4 linked regions of the Arabidopsis thaliana genome follow. The protein of the gene in region 3 interacts with the protein of the main gene of each other region in a pairwise test. Each region holds a gene or a part of one and is shown on either strand. Other genes may lie near its edges. The genes, in order: AT1G49140, CP12-1, RTL1 and AT2G22230.

What was found.
Region 1: the proteins of RTL1 (region 3) and AT1G49140 interact in a two-hybrid assay, tested with the Arabidopsis thaliana proteins (one large-scale study listed by BioGRID).
Region 2: the proteins of RTL1 (region 3) and CP12-1 interact in a two-hybrid assay, tested with the Arabidopsis thaliana proteins (one large-scale study listed by BioGRID).
Region 4: the proteins of RTL1 (region 3) and AT2G22230 interact in a two-hybrid assay, tested with the Arabidopsis thaliana proteins (one large-scale study listed by BioGRID).

What each region holds. Positions count from the first base shown.
Region 1 is NC_003070.9:18,175,666-18,181,724, reverse strand, and holds AT1G49140 (NADH dehydrogenase ubiquinone 1 beta subcomplex subunit 10-B-like protein (Complex I subunit NDUFS6)), read left to right. Parts: upstream 1-2,460; 5' UTR 2,461-2,701; coding exon of another isoform or gene 2,702-3,148; 5' UTR 3,149-3,244; exon of another isoform or gene 3,245-3,246; intron 3,247-3,344; exon of another isoform or gene 3,345-3,428; 5' UTR 3,429-3,455; coding exon 3,456-3,744; intron 3,745-3,994; coding exon 3,995-4,029; 3' UTR 4,030-4,053; intron 4,054-4,711; 3' UTR 4,712-4,953; downstream 4,954-6,059. Other genes in the region: WNK7 (Protein kinase superfamily protein), read left to right, coding at 75-481, 582-802, 899-1,056, 1,172-1,592, 1,732-2,252; AT1G49150 (uncharacterized protein), read right to left, coding at 2,702-3,148; BBX17 (B-box type zinc finger protein with CCT domain-containing protein), read left to right, coding at 5,789-5,822, 5,927-6,059. UniProt on the Arabidopsis thaliana protein: Accessory subunit of the mitochondrial membrane respiratory chain NADH dehydrogenase (Complex I), that is believed not to be involved in catalysis. Complex I functions in the transfer of electrons from NADH to the respiratory chain.
Region 2 is NC_003071.7:19,444,569-19,448,824, reverse strand, and holds CP12-1 (CP12 domain-containing protein 1), read right to left. Parts: upstream 2,096-4,256; 5' UTR 1,937-2,095; coding exon 1,562-1,936; 3' UTR 1,183-1,561; downstream 1-1,182. Other genes in the region: AT2G47390 (Prolyl oligopeptidase family protein), read left to right, coding at 2,572-2,878, 2,981-3,962, 4,057-4,185. UniProt on the Arabidopsis thaliana protein: Acts as a linker essential in the assembly of a core complex of PRK/GAPDH. Coordinates the reversible inactivation of chloroplast enzymes GAPDH and PRK during darkness in photosynthetic tissues.
Region 3 is NC_003070.9:30,312,269-30,317,367, forward strand, and holds RTL1 (RNAse THREE-like protein 1), read left to right. Parts: upstream 1-2,253; 5' UTR 2,254-2,340; coding exon 2,341-2,445; intron 2,446-2,629; coding exon 2,630-2,837; intron 2,838-2,965; coding exon 2,966-3,089; coding exon of another isoform or gene 3,090-3,093; exon of another isoform or gene 3,094-3,172; coding exon 3,173-3,332; 3' UTR 3,333-3,734; downstream 3,735-5,099. Other genes in the region: AT1G80640 (Protein kinase superfamily protein), read left to right, coding at 113-283, 364-605, 701-833, 911-974, 1,077-1,173, 1,278-1,359, 1,450-1,565, 1,645-1,734 and 1 more; HA9 (H[+]-ATPase 9), read right to left, coding at 3,959-4,055, 4,141-4,322, 4,404-4,586, 4,661-4,834, 4,912-5,099.
Region 4 is NC_003071.7:9,447,704-9,452,622, reverse strand, and holds AT2G22230 (Thioesterase superfamily protein), read right to left. Parts: upstream 2,694-4,919; 5' UTR 2,582-2,693; coding exon 2,380-2,581; intron 2,303-2,379; coding exon 2,242-2,302; intron 2,129-2,241; coding exon 1,984-2,128; intron 1,451-1,983; coding exon 1,196-1,450; 3' UTR 1,000-1,195; downstream 1-999. Other genes in the region: MIPS2 (myo-inositol-1-phosphate synthase 2), read left to right, coding at 1-169, 269-457, 540-722.

The sequences.
Region 1 (6,059 bases), about 12 Mb from region 3:
TTAGGCTCGACCAAATATGCCCTGTTTCTCCATTTTGTTTTCCCTTGACACATTCAAATGTGTAAACCTTTCAGTACAAAGAAGTAATAGGCAAAGGCGCATCCAAGACAGTGTATCCCTTTCTCTGTTTTTCTTTACATAATCTCTGTTTTTGTTTTACAATCTGTTATTCTGTGTTATGTGACATCATAGTTTGTGCTACGAGAGGATATGAAATTCATTATTTCTTTAACTCTCTTGAACAAATAATCAGTTTTAAGGGATTCGACGAAGTAGATGGGATTGAAGTAGCGTGGAATCAAGTAAGGATCGACGATCTTTTGCAATCACCAGATTGTCTAGAGAGGCTATATTCCGAAGTGCGGCTTTTGAAATCTCTGAAGCATAAAAACATCATAAGGTTTTATAACTCGTGGATCGATGACAAGAACAAGACGGTTAACATAATTACCGAGTTGTTCACTTCAGGAAGTCTCCGGCAGTATGTATTTTGCTCATTTTTATACTATCTTGTTATGTCGCCGCGAAAATAGCGGTTTTGGAGTTGTGTTTAAAGCAGCGAAATCTTGGTTTTCTTGAAGGTACCGTAAGAAACATAGAAAGGTGAATATGAAGGCTGTCAAGTGTTGGGCGAGACAGATTTTAACGGGATTGAAATATCTACATAGTCAAGATCCGCCGATAATACACCGAGATATCAAATGTGACAACATTTTTATCAACGGTAATCATGGAGAAGTGAAAATAGGAGATCTTGGTTTAGCTACTGTCATGGAACAAGCTAATGCCAAAAGTGTGATTGGTATGAGCAATGCTTTTTCTTTTATATAGTTTACAAATTCGTTTTTCTTTGTTTTTTTTAGGATCTAAATTGATAGTGTTATGTTATAACCAACAGGAACACCGGAGTTTATGGCGCCTGAGCTTTACGATGAGAACTACAACGAGCTCGCTGATATATATTCGTTCGGGATGTGTATGTTGGAAATGGTGACTTTTGAATATCCTTATTGTGAGTGTAGAAACTCTGCTCAAATCTACAAGAAAGTTTCATCGGTAAGTTCGATATTTTCAAATTGTTTCTACCATTGGTTTTATGATATCGAACAATATATGATAATATGAATGGATAACTTACTTGGTGAGTCTTTTTTTTGTATTCTTTACTTAGGGGATCAAACCAGCTTCACTATCAAAGGTTAAAGATCCAGAGGTAATGAAATTTATCGAGAAATGTTTATTGCCAGCTTCCGAAAGGTTATCGGCAGAGGAGCTTTTATTGGATTCTTTTCTCAATGTGAACGGTTTAGTTATGAACAATCCATTACCGCTTCCCGACATTGTAATGCCGAAAGAAGGATCATTCGGTGAACGTTGTCTTATGTCTGAAGGACCACCTAATGCTCGGAATAGAACGATGTCAATGAATCTTGACGAAGACAATAACCTTCCTATTGTTATTTCAAGCAACAATTCAGGAACAAACTGTATTGAGGTTAGACGGGCAAAGCGAGGAAACTTTTTTGTCCTTAAAGGTGAAGAGAATGATGAGAACTCTGTCTCATTAATTCTTCGTATAGTCGATGAAAATGGTAAGAGTCTTTTGCGTTTATATTTTACAAAACATTTCACCGAAAATGTTAGATGCATATACAATCAGCCAAAAATTGCGTTTGGAAAATTGCATATTATACCAAACTTGATTAGTTTTGTCTTCTTTTTGGCGTGTAGGGCGTGTGAGGAACATTCATTTTCTATTCTTTCAAGAAGGTGACACTGCTTCTAATGTATCTAGTGAGATGGTTGAACAGCTTGAATTGACGGATAAAAACGTAAAGTTTATAGCGGAATTGATTGACGTGTTACTCGTCAATTTGATACCGAATTGGAAAACCGATGTAGCTGTCGATCATCTAATTCATCCGCAACAGAACCAGAGCTCCAAGGATAATCATCAAAACGGTGCAAGTTCTCAAGCTGGTGAATCCATTAGCCACTCTTTGTCCTCTGATTATTGCCCACGATCCGATGATGAGGCAAACCCGACCGTAGCTGCAACAACAGAAGATCAAGAAGCAGAGAAACCAGGAAGCTTGGAGGAAGAAGAAGAAGATGAGAGGTTAAAAGAGGAGTTAGAAAAGATAGAAGAACGGTTCAGAGAAGAGATGAAAGAGATAACGAGGAAAAGAGAAGAAGCAACAATGGAGACCAAAAATAGATTTTTCGAGAAGAAGATGCAACAAGTTGAGTAAAGTAAACAACAGAGCAACACTCTGGTTTTGGATTCCTCTGTTTTGCTTTTCTGTTTTTCCATGTTTTATTATTTTAGTTTTGGTCAAAGAGAAAAAAGCTTTTGTTGTTTACTTGTTTCATTGCAAGTGTAGAAAGTTTCCTCCATAAAAAAAATAGAAAGTATTTTCTAATGGTAATTGGGATTTACATTATATAAAGCACTAATTGCTGAGATAAAACCATTCATCAGGTATATATGTAAAACTATTCTCGAGATAAAACAAGAAAGTGAATACACAATTTTCTTGCCTCTATTCATAAGAAATAAACCTGTTTTCATTGTGTTTATTTAACACCAAAAGCACTCAAAATTGAGGCTTAACATTCAGACAAACCGTAACTATAGAACATAAGAAAAACCTAACTATTGAAGAGGTTGCATTATATCACAAGTTTAAAACACCAAAGCTCAAGCTGAGTAGCAAAAATAGGTCTCTTCTTCCGCCACCAAAACCTCAACAGGAACGTCTACAAAAGCCTTGACCGCCACAACGACCACCGGAAAAACGACCACCGACGAAAAGACCACGACCACCACCAGGACCAAAGACAGGAGTACCAAAACGGCTATAAGGTTCCTCATCAGAAGATGATCCATCCACAGACATGCTCTCTGCCTGGGCTTTACAGAGCCAATTTTAACTTCATTATTTGACCTAAACAATGAGATCAACAGATCCATCTTCTCTTCCATTTTATGAAGACGAATACCAAATCCTTCCAACATCTCCATCGCATCAGATATTTTCATCTCAGTCGTCATGTCTTTCTTATCTTTCTCCAAATTGTCTGTAGGCGTCGTGTCCTTAATCACAGAAGGAGATGCTTCAGCTTTGGTTGCGGATTTATTGTCCATGGAGAAGATGATTAGTAGAACAACGCACTAGAGCTAGGTTAAAAGAGAGAAATTGGAGATCGGCAAAAACCCCTAATCAGCTGCTTAGGAAGAAAGGTATTTATAAGAGTCTTTTATATTCTGGCTTGGGGCACAAGAGTCCTTTCCTTTTATTTTATTTACTTTTCCCGTTGTTCATTTTTTCAACTAAGCAAGCTTTATCTGGGCCGAGGTGAGGCCCATTAATTGAATTAAAAGCCCAAAATAACAACAAAACATTACCTGATTGTCGGAAAATCAGACGGAAACAAAAGAAATCAAAAATCCGATGGGGAGGAAGAAGGGATTGCCGGAGTTCGAAGAGTCGGCGCCGGATGGATTCGATCCTGAGAATCCGTACAAGGATCCGGTTGCGATGGTGGAGATGAGAGAACACATTGTTCGTGAGAAATGGATCCATATCGAGAAGGCTAAGATCTTACGTGAGAAGGTCAAATGGTGTTACCGCGTCGAAGGCGTTAACCATTACCAGAAGTGTCGTCATCTTGTTCAGCAGTATCTCGATGCCACTCGCGGCGTTGGTTGGGGCAAAGACCACCGTCCTATCTCTCTTCACGGTGAGTTTTTTTCCCGGCGTTCTCTCTCACACTGGTGAAAATGCTTAGATTGAAATTCTTAGGGTTTCGTGTTTTTTTCCTTAGCCTTTGAATTTTGAATTCAGTTACTCTTTAGTGTGTTTGATTGAATTTGATTTGAATTTGATGTAGAGTGGTCTCAAAATTCTTCATGAATACCTTTGTGAAATTGATTCTTCCTTTAGATATATGTATTGAATTTTTTTTGTTTGTATTGATTTTGTCAAACCAGGTCCTAAGCCAGTAGCTGTTGAAGAAGCTGAATGATGTTGTGTGCGTGATTGATCTTTGGTAAGTAACTGGTGTTGATTAGTTATATAGTGTGTATTGCTTAGAAGAGGAGAAAGGTTAGACTTTCTAGCATGCTTTGTGTAGACACTATCTTATAACTGGACATGTTATGTGAATCTGTTTGTGGTAGGAGAAAATTGGAATATGGATGTTTGGATAGTTATATGTATGAACTGATCAGGTCTTAGAGTGACTTAGTTTTGCGGAAGTTGTGGATACACTGGTTAATTATTGATATCAATCTGACTGCAATCACAAAGGTTAAAGCTTAGTCATGGACTTTCTTCGGTGGTTTTAGAAACAGGACATGTTTTGGAATGTATAGAAATGAAATTGATAGATCTTGGAGTGACTCAATTTTGGAGACATATGGGCCGATATTATAGATACCAATCCGCTTGCAATTGCGTCCATCTTTAATCTGCAACAGAGCTAAACCTAGTCACAGAATTTCATTGATGAATTAATTATTTGAGATATGAGATGTTGTGGACTGTATGAAGAAGGATAGAGCTCCAACATTTAGGTTTTGATTGGTTTAAACAATAGTTCCAATAGGGTTAAGGCATATAGTCAAAATCTCAAGTTCAAATTGGATTGATGATTTTTGTATTTGGTTCAAAGATTTTAAAGGTTTTTTCTTGCTCCAATGACACAGGTGAGTGAGAGCTTTGATTACCATACATGAATGGAGTCTCTGTTGCAAGTTAATGCTCCACATCAAGGTTGTTACTTGATTTATGCTTTTCTGTTTCGTAAAACATATATTACTAATTGGACTTGGGAGTTCCAATTGGTTAAGCTCAGCTTCGTTTTTCAAATGATTTATATATATTTTTGGCTTGTTGTACATTGCGTCCCTGTTTGTCGAAATAATGAAATTCCCAAGTACCTTTTTGCATGCTTGCAACTTAGTATATGTTTTTAAGACTTTATCTGATAAAACTAAGAAAGAGTTAACTCTAAAAACATCATACTTTCCCTTTATTTCAAAACTGTAGGAACATCTTTACTTCTTTAGTGTTGTCTAAATGGATTCATTTCTGAAATAGTTCATGAAATTTTTATTAACCTTTAAGTAGTAGTTCAAACATCTACGGAGTCTATTACCATATGTTAAATGGTGACAAAGACAGGTAAGGACCACAGACAAAATGAGTCAGAAAACAAAAGACTAACAAACAAAAAGATAAAACTTAGAGATGGGTAAGGAAAAGAAGCCATAAAAGACCCAAAAACATAATCCAAGTCTAACCAATAAGATCGCAAAGATATGGATCAACTTCGGTACATGATGCCAAATCATCACTACAGTGTCTTTTTTCCTTGTACAACCCAACCAAAAATGGGTATGGCCAAACTTCAATAATACACCAAGTGTTTACTCATCTCAAATTTTACTACCTTTTCTTAAGACTAATCTACTCTATATAAGTATGTTCACTAACCCTTAATGTTAAGATTCAAGAATATTAAACATGTATAGAACAAGACTCAAGGAAACTTGAGCTAAAAAGTCATTTCTAGTCCCTACTGACATAAGAAAGAAGTGTCAGTGAAAAAATCTTCTAGATTCTAAAGGAAAATGTCTTTGTCTGATCCCAACGAAAAAGATTATTATATACCTACCTAAGCAGGCTCCTTTGTCAGTGCCCATTATTCTCCATCCCTCTTAGCCCTTGTCTTCTTCATTGTCCCCTTTTTCTCACTTTAAGATCTTTCTTGTTCTTAGCCCATGACAAGTCACCAAAATATCAAAATTTCAGAAAGTATATAACCATTACTCTACTGTTTCCTGATAAACCTCCTTTTGTGCCAGTTTCTTCTTCTACTTTGATTTCTTCTCATATCTCTGTTTTCATGTTTTGCGCAGAAATTATGATTTCAAAGTACCAAGAAGATGTCAAGCAGCCACGAGCTTGCGAACTTTGTCTGAACAAACACGCAGTTTGGTACTGTGCCTCCGATGATGCTTTCTTGTGCCATGTTTGTGATGAATCAGTGCA
Region 2 (4,256 bases), on a different chromosome or scaffold from region 3:
AAAAAAGCATTGAGACACAATCTTAAATGCGATTTCAAAGAGTTATTCCCAAATCAAAAAACCCTAAGATCCAATTACATAGAAAAACACACATCACACATGAAAAATGAAAATCAAGTAAAACTGGCAAATTCGGGAGCTAGAAAAGACAAGGGAATCAAGAGAAAACCTCGAAGAAGCTAGGGTTTAGTTAGGTCAACAAAAATACAGCTTGCTACTCAGCAGTTGAGATGGGTGGCTAGAGAAAGGAATCTCGAGTAGACGATTTTTCAAGGACGAAACCAGAGAGACGGAGCAGCGAATTCGAATGGTTCTTAGGTCACAGAAACGAGAGAAGAAGAGTAGCAACAACGTTACATTCTGCGAATTGTGTGCGCGTCTCCTGGTCCTGGTTAGACATCGGCCAGGTCGAGCGAACAAGGAAGAACGAAACAACAAGACCACTGACTCTTCTTTTTCTTTTTTTCTTACCGCTGTGAGATTTTTCTGGAAAATCTGGAAAATACAAATTTGAGAATAGGAAACAACAATACGTAAGAGTTTTAATAAGCAAAAAAAAAAATCTTATGTGTGAGAAGACAGATACACCCCTTACTTGTTGTTGCATTTTCTTAAACCGCGTGAGAATTATAGGGGTATAATTGACTCTTTAGCGGCTGGGCCGACAAATAGATCGGCTTAATTTTTGTTGTTTTCTTACAAATTCATATATAACCTTTTTACCTTCAGATTTTAACTGGTGATACCGTGCCGATGCATTTTTCTTGTTAAAATCTACTTTTCTGAACCGCCAAAAATATATATAAGTGAACGAATTCAAATTTGCAAAATAACACAGAAGAGCATCAAACAAGCACACTCGTATCATTTACTTTAGATTAATCAATTTAATGCTAGAAGATAAACGATTTTGAATTCATTCACTTAACTTCACAAATTTTGTTATCAAACAATAAAATTGTATACATTTCAGGTGTTTTTTTTTTTGTCAAATTATTTAGTTCACTTATTCCTTAATATATTTACTGTTTCTCATCACCTTGAGGCTGGCCACAAACTGGTTCTATTCTATATGTCAAATTTGTACATCGGCCCATGCTTGATAAAGCCCATTACACTGCATCAACATAATTACATGGGCTTGTTTGTTGTTACCCATCTTGTTGAAACCAAAGATTAATTCCCATACCAGCAAGGCAGCAATTTTAAAACCGTCTAAGAAACTCTCGATCAATTCATCTTTCTCTCGGCTCAACGTCGTTTTGACACATACATCTCCACATCCACAAAAAAATAATAAGGAACGTATGCGAGTGACCTAAGATCATCTCAGCCTCATCTAAACTTAATTGAGTTTTTTATTATCAATTTCACGAAACTGCAAATGTAATCGAACCAAACACATTATGAAACATATGTTGTGTATTGTACTATTCATATTCATTTATCACATTACAATCATCAACCAAACCAAAAACACAAACATAACAACAAGGGACAAGAAGAACAAACATTGATCCATACCTAAAGTTTCATAATTCGAACATCAAAAACATATTTTTTAATTATCATAAGTACGACACTCATCAGTCTCAGGATTATCATTGCAATACTCTTCCAAAGGATCGGAGCCACCAGCTTTCTTCTTGTCCCTAGCATGACTCGCCGCCGCACTCAGCTCCTCCACCTCGTCCCAAGCCGCTACACACTCCCCGCTCACCGGATCATCAGCGCATGTCTCCTTAGCTTCTTGTATACTCTTCTCCACCTTCTCCGATATCTCTCCTTCCGATGTAGCCTTAACCACAACCATCCGCTTCATCGAACCGAATTTCCACGGGTAATTCAACCGGACCGGACCTAATACACGAGCCACAGGTCGAACGACCACTCGTGGAGTCGCGACGTTGAGGCCAGCTGCAGCTATGGTTGTCATCGTCGGAGGATTTTGATGGAGGAGAAAAGTTTTTTGATGTGAAGAGATGAAGAAGATAAAATATACTCGTTCACGTTATTAAACTCTGTGAACACAATCCTCTTATCTTCTAAGAACCAAGCATATTTTGCCACGTGTACTTAGATTTTTTCACAAAAAGTAGTATTCTACCAATTTGAGAAACATAAGTTTTTCCCCGGAATATTTATTTTATCAGCCGTTGAACATTTTTTCTTGAAAATTATAGAAGCTTTTTTTTTAATTTTTGACTGAAATAATAAAAATTTGTTATCATTTTCTCTTCTGTAATTTTCATAGACATAAACTTCTCATGAAAAGTAGCATAATAAATTAATAATTACTATATTTTTGAGTATTTCATTTTGTTGAGAAAAAGGGGGAGGACGACTGACTTATAATGGGCCATATTCCAGGAAATAAGCGCTAGTTGGGCCATAGATAAGGCCCACATAAGCAGTGACCACTACCGATATTTTTCCTGATATTTTTTGTTTTCCTGGTTAAAAATACATACAGATACAGTCGTCGTTTTGATTAGTGAACCGTCGAATAGAAAAAGAGAGAATCATTCAGAGCACTTTAAAAAGGTTAAAAAAGTCAAGTATTAAAAAAAGATGATGCGCTTTCATAAAGCTTGTCATCGTTTCTCTCTTTCACCTCTCTGCCATTTATCTCCGCCGTCTCCGTCACCGGCTTCTTCTCTCCTTCTACTTCCCAAGCTTTCCGGATTCTCGACTCTGAGTACACGACGTTGCGTAAGAGTTCGCCGATTCTCCGAAAACCCGTTGACCACTGTCATGGCTTCACGTTCTGCTTCTAGGCTTCGTTCTCTCGCATCTGCCTGTTCTGGAGGTGCTGAAGACGGTGGTGGAACCTCTAATGGCTCCCTATCAGCCTCTGCTACTGCAACTGAAGATGATGGTAACTTGGATTTGAATATTTTTGTGTATAGAGTTACTTGTCACTGGAATTGAAATCTGAGAAATCGTTTTTGATTGTTTGTTTGTGTGTTGAACTATGTAGAATTGGCTATAGGCACTGGATATCGTCTGCCTCCACCTGAGATCAGAGATATTGTAGATGCTCCACCAGTCCCGGCTTTATCATTTTCACCACATAGGGATAAGATATTGTTTCTCAAGCGGAGAGCATTGCCTCCGCTCGCAGATTTAGCTAGACCAGAGGAGAAGCTTGCTGGTGTTCGAATTGATGGATACTGCAATACCAGAAGCAGAATGTCATTCTATACTGGTTTAGGAATCCATCAGTTATTGCCTGATGGTACATTGAGTCCTGAGAAGGAGATCACTGGCATTCCAGATGGTGGTAAGATTAACTTTGTTACATGGTCCAATGACGGTAAGCATCTGGCTTTCAGCATCCGGGTCGATGAGAACGGAAATAGTAGTAAGCCAGTGGTATGGGTAGCTGATGTTGAGACTGGAGTAGCTAGACCATTGTTTAACTCGCAAGATATTTTTCTGAATGCGATTTTTGAGAGTTTTGTTTGGATTGATAATTCCACTTTGTTGGTGAGCACAATCCCTTCATCTCGTGGAGAACCACCAAAGAAACCTTTGGTGCCATCTGGTCCCAAAACTCTGTCAAACGAGACGAAGACTGTTGTCCAAGTTAGAACATTCCAAGATTTGCTTAAGGATGAGTATGATGCTGATTTATTTGACTACTACGCTTCATCACAACTAGTATTGGCTTCTTTGGATGGTACTGTGAAGGAAGTAGGGGTTCCTGCAGTGTATACATCGTTAGACCCTTCGACAGACCATAAGTACTTGTTGGTGTCATCACTTCACAGGCCATATTCCTTCATTGTACCTTGTGGTAGATTTCCAAAGAAGGTGGAAGTCTGGACAACTGATGGTAGATTTGTAAGACAGCTATGTGACTTGCCCTTGGCTGAAGATATCCCCATTGCCTCCAATAGTGTGCGGAAAGGAATGCGTTCAATAAACTGGCGAGCAGACAAGCCTTCAACCCTCTACTGGTATATATTTGAGATTCAAAGTGAATCACATGTAGTACACGTGCCAAAATGGGATTTGGAAGTAATTAATTTACAACTCTTCTGAGATATGTAGGGCAGAAACACAAGATGGAGGTGATGCCAAAATGGAAGTTTCACCGCGTGATATAGTTTATATGCAGTCTGCTGAACCATTGGCAGGAGAAGAACCAGAAGTGTTACACAAGCTCGATCTTCGTTATGGGTAACAACTAAAAACACAGCAGATATTGTAGATTACTTATGCCATCTTATCAACAAACTGACTAACTTCAT
Region 3 (5,099 bases):
AGGAATTGAATTTAGTTGAATTGATACTGTTTCCCAATTAAAACTGAAAACTTTCCGATAATTAAGCAAATAAATTGAATTTTATCCCTTATTTAAATTTAACTTTGCTCAGGACCTCCCATTGTTAAAGTGGTGCTTCGCCAGGACTTGAACAAGAAGATTCTAATTGCTCTTATAGTCTCATCATCTCTGCTCTGTGTCACAGTCATGTTCCTTGTGTATCTCTTGCTATGGAGGTACAGGAATATGAAGAACAGCTTCACCGGTATCAAACGCAAATCCGGTATTCAATTCTATCTCTTTATATTTTTGTAATTTCCTTGGTTTTGTTATGGCTTATTTTGGTGCTTTGGTTATCTGAAGATTCGGTGAAGAGTGTAACCACGAAACCGACTGTACACAAGATTGATTCTGTGAGGAAAGGAACCATCCCTGTGTATGAATATCAATTGCTGGAATCTGCAACAAACAAGTTTAGTGATAGTAATGTGTTGAGCCGAGGTGGTCGTGGATGCCTTTACAGAGCTTGTCTCGATGAAAAATCCTCAGTCACTGTGAAGAAACTTGATGGCGGTGGGGAGACAGACATTGAAAAACAGTTTGAGGTTTGACCCCTAAGATGATTATACAGAATCGCACCATCTCATTCGATAAACCATAACTCGGTTTTTTGCTTTCTCTTGTTGATTTTCTAATGCAGACTGAAGTAGATTGGTTGGCTAAGATCAGGCATCAGAACATAGTTTCCTTATTGGGGTTTTGCGTATATCGGCAAACGAGTTGTATTGTGTATGAGTTGATGCAGAATGGATCTTTGGAGAGTCAGTTACATGGTAAGGGGATATGATCCATGTTTGTTCCATCTTTTGTCATCTGATTTTGATTTTGTTGTGCTTTTGAATGCTCTAAGGGCCTAGTCAAGGTTCAGGTTTAACTTGGCAGCTCAGGATGAAGATAGCGGTTGATATAGCGAGGTAAAGTCCATTCATTGATAATACTTTCAAACATTTAGTAGTTCCATGTGATCTCCAAGAACATATATTTGTATGCTTACAAAGTATTCTTTTTTCATAAAGAGGATTAGAGTATCTTCACGAGCATTGCCATCCTCCTGTAGTTCACAGAGATTTGAAATCATCTAGCATCCTTCTGGACTCCGATTTCAATGCAAAGGTAAAAGAGAAAATGATATAATGTAGAAAATTCTTCTTAGACTTATTGTATTCTCCATACAATATGAGTCTTAAGGATCTGTTGCCACATTTGCTTCTCTTTAGATATCCGATTTTGGGTTTGCCACGGTTTTGACCACGCAGAATAAAAACCTGATACACAAGGCTTCTGAGGATCTTCTTGATGGTAAGGAGTTAATCTTTTTTCGGGGTTCGATCTTGACATATATGCCAAACGAGATGCTCAAATTTCGACCATTCTGTAATCATCTTTCAGGGAAAGTTACAGACAAGAATGATGTCTACTCATTTGGAGTGATCCTGCTCGAACTTCTCCTCGGGAAGAAATCAGTGGAGAAACCGTCTTCTGAACCAGAATCCATCGTTACTTGGGTACATAATAAAACTTTCACGAGATAGTGGCTTCGTTTAGCAGGAAATCCTCTGACTTGTGATCTTTGTTGATCATCAGGCAGTACCTAAGCTGAGTGATAGAGCTAATCTACCAAACATATTGGATCCTGCAATCAAAGGAACCATGGATTTGAAGCATCTATATCAGGTAAAAAAGCTTCAACAAAATCTCACACAGATTTTACGAAAAACACATTAGCCAAATATAGAAGGAAAAAGATTCCTCTTTGAACTTTGTGTTATATTTTCTTTGGACAGGTAGCTGCGGTGGCGGTGTTGTGTGTACAGCCGGAGCCAAGTTACAGACCACTTATAACCGATGTCTTGCACTCACTCATCCCTCTTCTACCAGTAGAACTCGGTGGATCATTGCGGATTTTATAAAAAAACATTTCCCCTTTCTTTTTTTTTTTCTTGTAACAGATCAATGCGTTTATGAATTTGTCTCTTATGTTGGTTCTTCCGGAGAATTTATTGTTGTATGTTTAATCACTGCTACAAAAAATTCGGAAGTTTTGCTTAAATGGAACCGAGAGACAAGTTAGTAGAGTTTGGTTAGTAAAAGTTAAAGGTTTAAAAGCTTTAACATATAAATAAATAAAAACGTTGACTTTTTATAACAGAGTTTGTTGTTGTGGGGAAATGAATTAATTAATGAACCTTATCCGTTTTGTCGATGATCGATAAAATTTTCAATTTCTCGATTCCCAAAGAAAGATATCTGGGAATTAGACAAGGAGTAGTAATATGAAAGATGGAGGATCAGGAAACGAAGCGGATAACCAAAAAACCGTCAAGATCGATCATCATCAGTCTCAAAGATATTCCTCCTCTCGACCCTTCTTCTATTCCCTCTATGGTAAATATTCATTCACTCCAACCATATTCTCTTCTTTCTCGCTAACAAAAAAATTGATCATCTGGGTTTGAAACAGAGAACAATCTCTGCGTTTTCTATTTGTAGATGATTCTTCTTCTGTGATTTGGCTATATCATGGGTTAATAGTAATAAATATCTCAACTTTGCTTCTGTCAATTGTTAGAAACCAATGGCGCAAGATCATCATAATGTGGGAATGCAGAGATTCCAAGAGAAGACTGACTTCAAGTTTGAAGAAGAAGACAATGCCATTTCTTCCTTCTCTAACATTCAAATTGATCCTAACAGCACAAGAAGCATTTCACTAGAGAAGAAGCTTGCTCCTAAACCAGATGAAGAACACACCACCACCACCAAACCCATATCTAAAGGTTCATTCATTTTTTCTTCACCTCTTTTGCTAATTATGATGTAAACTTGTTCGGAAACCAACAGAGATTGCAATTTTTGGTATAGAAGATAGAATTTTGGTCATTTTGTTCTGAAATTTGTGTTCCAGATGATGAATCTAAGACTAGGAGAGGCTCAGCTAAATCGGTGTTACACGAAATGTGTGCTTCCAAGCGTTGGAGACCTCCTGTTTATGAATGCTGCAATGTTGATGGACCTTGCCATTTGAGATTGTAAGTAAACATCTTCTAACCTGCACTTGCTTTTATTTTTTGAGTCGCAATCTTTTTTGCATCAACTTGGTTTTTTGGTTCAGATTTACATACAAAGTTATGGTTGAGATTAGAGATTCTTCAGGGAAAACTGTTTTGGAGTGTTTTGGGGATCCCAGACGCAAAAAGAAAGCTGCTGCTGAGCATGCAGCAGAAGGAGCGCTTTGGTATCTTGAGCATGTGAAGACAAAGCCGCATCAGTAAATCATCATTTAGTCGATATGAAGTAGCTGGAGAGTTTAGTAAAGCCATCTATAGTTAGTTCTAACGAGGGAAGCTTGAACCATATTATACCTATCTTTTAATTCATTATAGCTCTATGGGTTGTAACAGTTTTGATCTGTATCAGAACTTTTCTTTCAAACTTTGTGCCATTATATTTCTCCTTAGTAAGGAGCCTTTATCTTTATCTTTATGTTTATGGAATAGAAGAGCTCAAGTCATCCAAGTTAGAGAAAGCTTTGGAGACTTTGTCTGGTTAGACTGAAGGAGGGAATTCAGTTCAGTGAGATTTGAAACACTGATTTTTCTCATTTGCAACTAAGATTTGAGCATTCTTTTTTTTTTTGGTTTTGTTGCATTCTCTCTTGCGCGGACAGAGACTAGAAGAAACTTACTCAAGAATTCTAAGTAATTGTAAGATCTTATTACTCTTGTAAAAAAGGAAAAAACAAGAATATCTCAAAAATATAAAAAAAGAAGAAGCCACATCCACTGCTAACAAAAGAAACAATTTTCTTTTTGCAGCATTCTCTAATTATGGAAGTGGTTATTTATTCAATACTCTTGTGGGGTTCTAAAACTAAACTGAGAAACACTTGTTTCTGAAATCACAGGGTATAGTGTTGCTGGATAGCCTCAATGTCTAGTCCCTTCTGCTTCACTACTGATTCCACGTGACCTTTCAAGGTGTGACGTTCCCTTAACCTGAAATTTACAAGACAAGAAATGTTTGTAAGCCCATTTTCTGAGGAACCTAATGGTATGGAATAATCAGTTACTTGAGCGTTGCCTTGCAACTTCAGCTCGTCTCTTGGCTTGATCAGCTATCTCTGAAAGCTCTCTGTAAGTGCTCTTGTCATTGAACATATCTGAGGTTTGAGCTGGCTGCAATCCGTGAAGTGTACGTTGCGCTTGTGCCCATTGTGCTTCTCTCTCTCCCTTTCCGTAGTCTTTCTTTGACGTGAAAGCGGTCTGAACAGAGGAACAAAGGTTAGGAAAAAGGATTATACTACTGTGTTCTTGTTCTCATCAGTATTGGCCTGAGAAGCAAACCTTGTTCTCAATGACATTATCCCATGCTCTTCCACTCAGTGAATATCTGATGATGAACTTGAGGATATCCAATGGGATGTAGAAGACTATACTATAGAGCCAGATAACTCCTGCCCATCCCCACCCAATACCTCTGATTCTTGCAAAATTCCAGTTTGCGTATACCGCAATCAAAGTAGCAATCTTGGAATGAAAACAACAACAGTGTCAGTATATACTGAAGCTTCTTATGTAAGAGTACTGAATCTTTAACTTACCAGCTGAGCCATGAAAAAGGCAGAGATCAACCAGAAGCCAGGACGTTCAACATATGACCAGCTTCGCGACCTTGTTACAAAGATAAGCGCTTGGCTCACGATACTAACTTGTAGGTAAACAGCTGCTGTTAGCTCATGCGGATTTCCACTGATAGATCTCACCCCAAACTTTGCCTGCACCAAGAGAAAACTGAAGATCAACACATACACTTACTCGAGCTGGTCATAAAAGTAAGATAGAACTCTCTTACAGAGAAGAAGTCAGTGCTCTCTGCAGCCCAGAAGAAAACTACAGTCATGACTGCTAGGTAAGTGCCAAGAACAACGCCGGTGGCAAATATCTCTTTGAGTTTCCATGAATCAGGAAGTGGAGAAGGCTTTACTCTGTCCTTTGATATCGTCATGATAGTACCATCATTCAGGATAGCAACGATCAAGA
Region 4 (4,919 bases), on a different chromosome or scaffold from region 3:
GATTGTGAGCTATAATCATTTGGGAAACAACGACGGGATGAACCTCTCAGCGCCACAGACTTTCCGCTCTAAGGAGATTTCAAAGAGCAATGTTGTAGACGACATGGTAGCTAGTAATGGCATCCTCTTTGAGCCTGGTGAACACCCTGACCATGTCGTTGTCATCAAGGTTTGATTTTGAATCAGAGGCCAGAGTGATCAATTCCTCCTTTCTTTTTAAGTACATTTTAAAGTCTTAAATCCTGCTATTGTTCTGAATGTTTTGCAGTATGTGCCATATGTTGCGGATAGTAAAAGAGCAATGGATGAGTACACGTCTGAGATATTCATGGGAGGGAGGAACACTATAGTGTTGCATAACACTTGTGAGGACTCTCTCTTGGCTGCACCAATTATCTTGGATCTTGTCCTTCTCGCTGAACTCAGCACCAGAATCCAATTTAAAGCTGAAGGAGAGGTTTGTATTCCGTTAGTTAGTTACCAAGAAACTCGAGATTGGTGAGTTTTTTTTTTTCATGTTTGAATCTATTCTCTTTCAGGGGAAGTTTCACTCTTTCCACCCGGTAGCTACCATACTCAGTTACCTCACAAAGGCACCTCTTGTACCGCCCGGAACACCGGTGGTTAACGCTCTGTCGAAGCAGCGGGCAATGCTGGAAAACATTCTTAGGGCATGTGTTGGGCTTGCGCCAGAGAACAACATGATCATGGAGTACAAGTGAAGGATGAGGAAGAAGAAGTAAAGGTACCTAAGATGACCTTAGGATATGAAGGACACTGCTCCATTGTTTCATTTATATATATCATTTTGTATGTATATTATATGAATGTGTGTGTGACGGATAATATGGATAAGCTTAGGGTTAACTTGTGTGATATGGATCTGGTCGGTTTATTTGGTGAGAAGATTAGCTAAGCTTTTGGATCAAATGTGTAAAAGATTTAAGTAATTATGCTTGTGTCTCCTTGTAATATAACCAAACTTATGATCTATGAATATGGATTTTCAAAATCAAAATCTCTGTATTTGTATCTTATGAATGTTCATAAATTGGAGACAGCAATAAAGACACGAAGGGCAAAAGTAGCTCATATAAATGTCGAAAACATAAAGCTGTCTTGTCTAGATTTTCGAATAACAGAAGAAGCATAAGAAGAGTCCACATGTGGGAAGTGAGACCATTAATGGGTGAGATCAAGAACTACCAGCAGAAACCATCATGAACTCGCCTTCACACACCAGAGCACCACCCACATAAGCTTTACCTTCCATTTTAGCGAGCCCGAACCGCTTCTGGAACTTGAGAAGAGTCATCCTCATGACTAGCGTGTCTCCTGCAATCACTGGTTTGCGAAATCTCACTTTATCAATACCAGCAAAGAAGAAGTTATCTTGAGAGCCTCCTACTTCCGGCTGCAGCATTACTATACCTCCGACTTGCGCCATTGCCTGCAATACACAAACTCTGACTTTTCAGTGAAATGATCTTCAAGACATTAATACTCAACCATATGGCGGTTATCTTTTTTATAGAGGATCTGTGATCCTCTATCGGGATTCAGAATCCAAAACCTCTACCAAATTAGCGAGATCATTAACCTCTTTCAAGCTTAAAGTTGCATATTTCTACTACGCAGACTCGAGTTTTCAGTATCAAAGCTGCAGATAGCTTCACACATTTTGGATCAAGTTTTTAGCAAAGTGAAGTTGAAGTCCCTCAACTATAATATACTCATCACTCTATCAGACCACAGAAGGACAATTCAATTACCAACCAGGTGAAGATCTCGCGCTAATCTATCAGGATTCAGAATCCAAACTAGCAGATCATTAACCTCTTATCATAGTTAACATCCATCTTCGATTAAAACAGTAGCGAACATTAAAGCATTTTGAAAGGAATACAACAGCTAACATATCAATTACAAAATATTTGATCTTCTTGAGGACAAAAGTTTGCAACTTTAAACGATTATTATTACCTCAATCATGAGAACACCAGGCATGATTGGTCGTTCAGGGAAATGGCCAGGGAAGAAATTGTCATTGATGGTGACATTCTTAATAGCTACAGCTGAAACACCAGGCGTATACTCTATCACTCTATCTACCAGCAGAAACGGAAACCTAAAATCCAAGAACCATAATGTCAAATTCCAGAAAGATCAAAACTTCAAACATGGGTTTCAACGAAAACTCATCAAATCACCGAAAGTTGAAGTCTTATGAATATTTTATACCTGTGAGGCAATATCTCTCTGATTTGGTTAATGTCCATTACCGTTGGAAATGCTGGGAATTCTGGGGATTAAGAGAAACAGATTGAGTAAGAGAATGACGAATGTCGGAAACATTAGAAATCGAGAGAAAAATCTTACTGAGTTCGATTGGTGTTTCCTTTTCGGTTGAGGTGCTATCGCCATTTGTTGAACAACGAAGCGTGAGAGAATTGGATCGCTTGTTGGGTGGGAGAGAAACAGAGTGAGATCTGGAGGAAGATAGATGGAGAGGTTGATGATGATGATGATGAATCAGTGAGTCAGAACTTAGGAAAAGTACCGAGTTAGAAGTAGTAGCCATTGTCGAGTAACAGTGAAGAGAGTTTAGAGAGAATGTGAGAGATGTTGTTTTTGCAGGTGAAGGAGCGGAGAGTACAAAGGTTTGTGTTAGTTGAAGCAGAGATAGTGACAAATTCATAGGTTTTGAATATATTCATACAATGGAAACAATATAACAAGTGGCCTATTAGCTCAGTTGGTTAGAGCGTCGTGCTAATAACGCGAAGGTCACAGGTTCGATCCCTGTATAGGCCATTTCTTTTTTTCTTTTTTTGGTCCTTCGTAGCCTTTTTTTGGAACAAACAAGGTTGACTGTTCCTTTTGATGAACCGAATCGAACCGCTAACCAAACTCATTTTAAAAAGTCACCGATTTTTACGATTTTAGAGTTGCATTTGTGCATAACCAAAGGCACATAGACTAGGTGCCAGTATATGAAATTTGTTCCAGTTGACTAATTTATAAAAAATAATCACATCTTTAGCTGGATCCACAAAATTAGGTCAGGGTTCATGACCTTTTTAGCATTGTTTTAGATTATCTTGACCATTAGTTGTGGTGAGAGTTGACAATTTAAAAAGTCAACTAGTTTTTAAAATTAAATACCATAACAAATGATGCTTAATATATATGCTTTAATGCTTATAGTTATTTAAACTTTATAAGTACCATAATTTTTTTTTTTTTTTTTCTCGATCTAACTCCATCTATTATTCTACGGATATAAGCTCTCCTCTAAAGAGAGCCAATCGGGAATCGTTGAACTTACATGGGAAAAACAGAATCCGTGTGCTCTTGCACATTTTGCAAGGTAATCTGCACGAATATTACTAGTTCGAGGAACGTAGTTAATATTTAAAGATACAAGTTTATCTCTAAAAATCTTGAAATCTTCTAGCTCCGATGCAAAATTAGGCCACTCCTCCGGGGTATTAACCATGGTGATAAGATCTGAGCAATCCGTCATAACTTGTACCCTCGATATCGACAATCCCACCATGCACTTCAAGGCCCAAACTAATGTGTCTAATTCCGCGTGAAGCGGTGATAAACAACGTCGTGATCCCTTCAATCCCAAGTGTAACAGTCTTTCCCCGATGTTCAATATCCACCCATGACCACTTCGAGGTTCAGATACATGCCACGACCCATCAATAAAGCACACTGGAACGTCCAAAGGTAAAATTGGGACTTGCAAACATGGCACCGTCTCCTCCACTTGCTCCTCTCTCATGTTGGCTCTCCTCCAAACTTCTTCCTCTTGGATTGCCAATCCTAAAGTGTCTTGAGGTTGGACGCAAATATTTTCAAAAATCTTTCGATTTCGCGCTTTCCAAATATACCACATGATCCACGGAAAAATCCGTAGGCTCTCCTCGCTAGCTCCAATCTCCTTTGCTCTCCAATACAAATAATCCAGATTATTGTATATAGAGGGCGACGGAAACCTAGATAGAGAGGAGGGAATACCGGACAAAGCCCAGACTTGTCTCGCTGGTGGACAATCAAATAGCAAATGGTTGATGGTTTCCTCATTAGCCCCACATCTGGGACACTTTTTATCTCTACCAATATGGCGAAAATGTAGTCGTTGACATGTTGCCAAACAACCTGACACACATTGCCACACAAAATGCTTAAGCTTTCGTGTAGTTTTTAACTTCCACGCTTGCGCCTTTAGTGCTGAAACACTAGGTCCCTGAAAAGGGTGGTCACAAGACGGGCGAGAGATAGCTCTCGCGGCTTCATATCCTGTCTTGACGGTATAATTACCTGATTTGGTCATAGTCCAACTATATCCATCTCGCGAGGCATTTAAGCTCGGTTTTATCCCTAAAATGAGGGTAATATCTTTGGGGGGGAAGAGCTCACGTAACCGATCTACTTTCCACTGTTTCGTTTCAAAATCAATCAAGGTATTTACATAGATCAGAGGTTTTCTATCCGTAGCTAGACCTTTCGGTGGTCTTGGGGAGATATCTGGGATCCATGGATCAGTCCAAATACAAGTCTCAAAACCCGACCCAATGGTCCTACGAATCCCGGCCTTGAGAACATGTTTGGCAGCAAGCATACTCCTCCAGCCATACGATGGCCGATTGGATACTGTAATCTCTAATGGGCTACTATATCTGAAGTATCTTCCCTTAAGGATTCGACTAAGGAGGGAGTCCGGGAATCTTAAGAGTCGCCATAATTGCTTCGCCAAAAGTGCGAGTTAAAGTCTTCAAGGGTCCTGAATCCTAGACCCCCATCAGATAGTTGAGTACATAGTTGGTCCCATGCAATCCAATGTAACCCTTTACTATCCGCTTTGTTACTCCACCAAAATTTGGCGATCGCACTACTTAGCTTGGAAG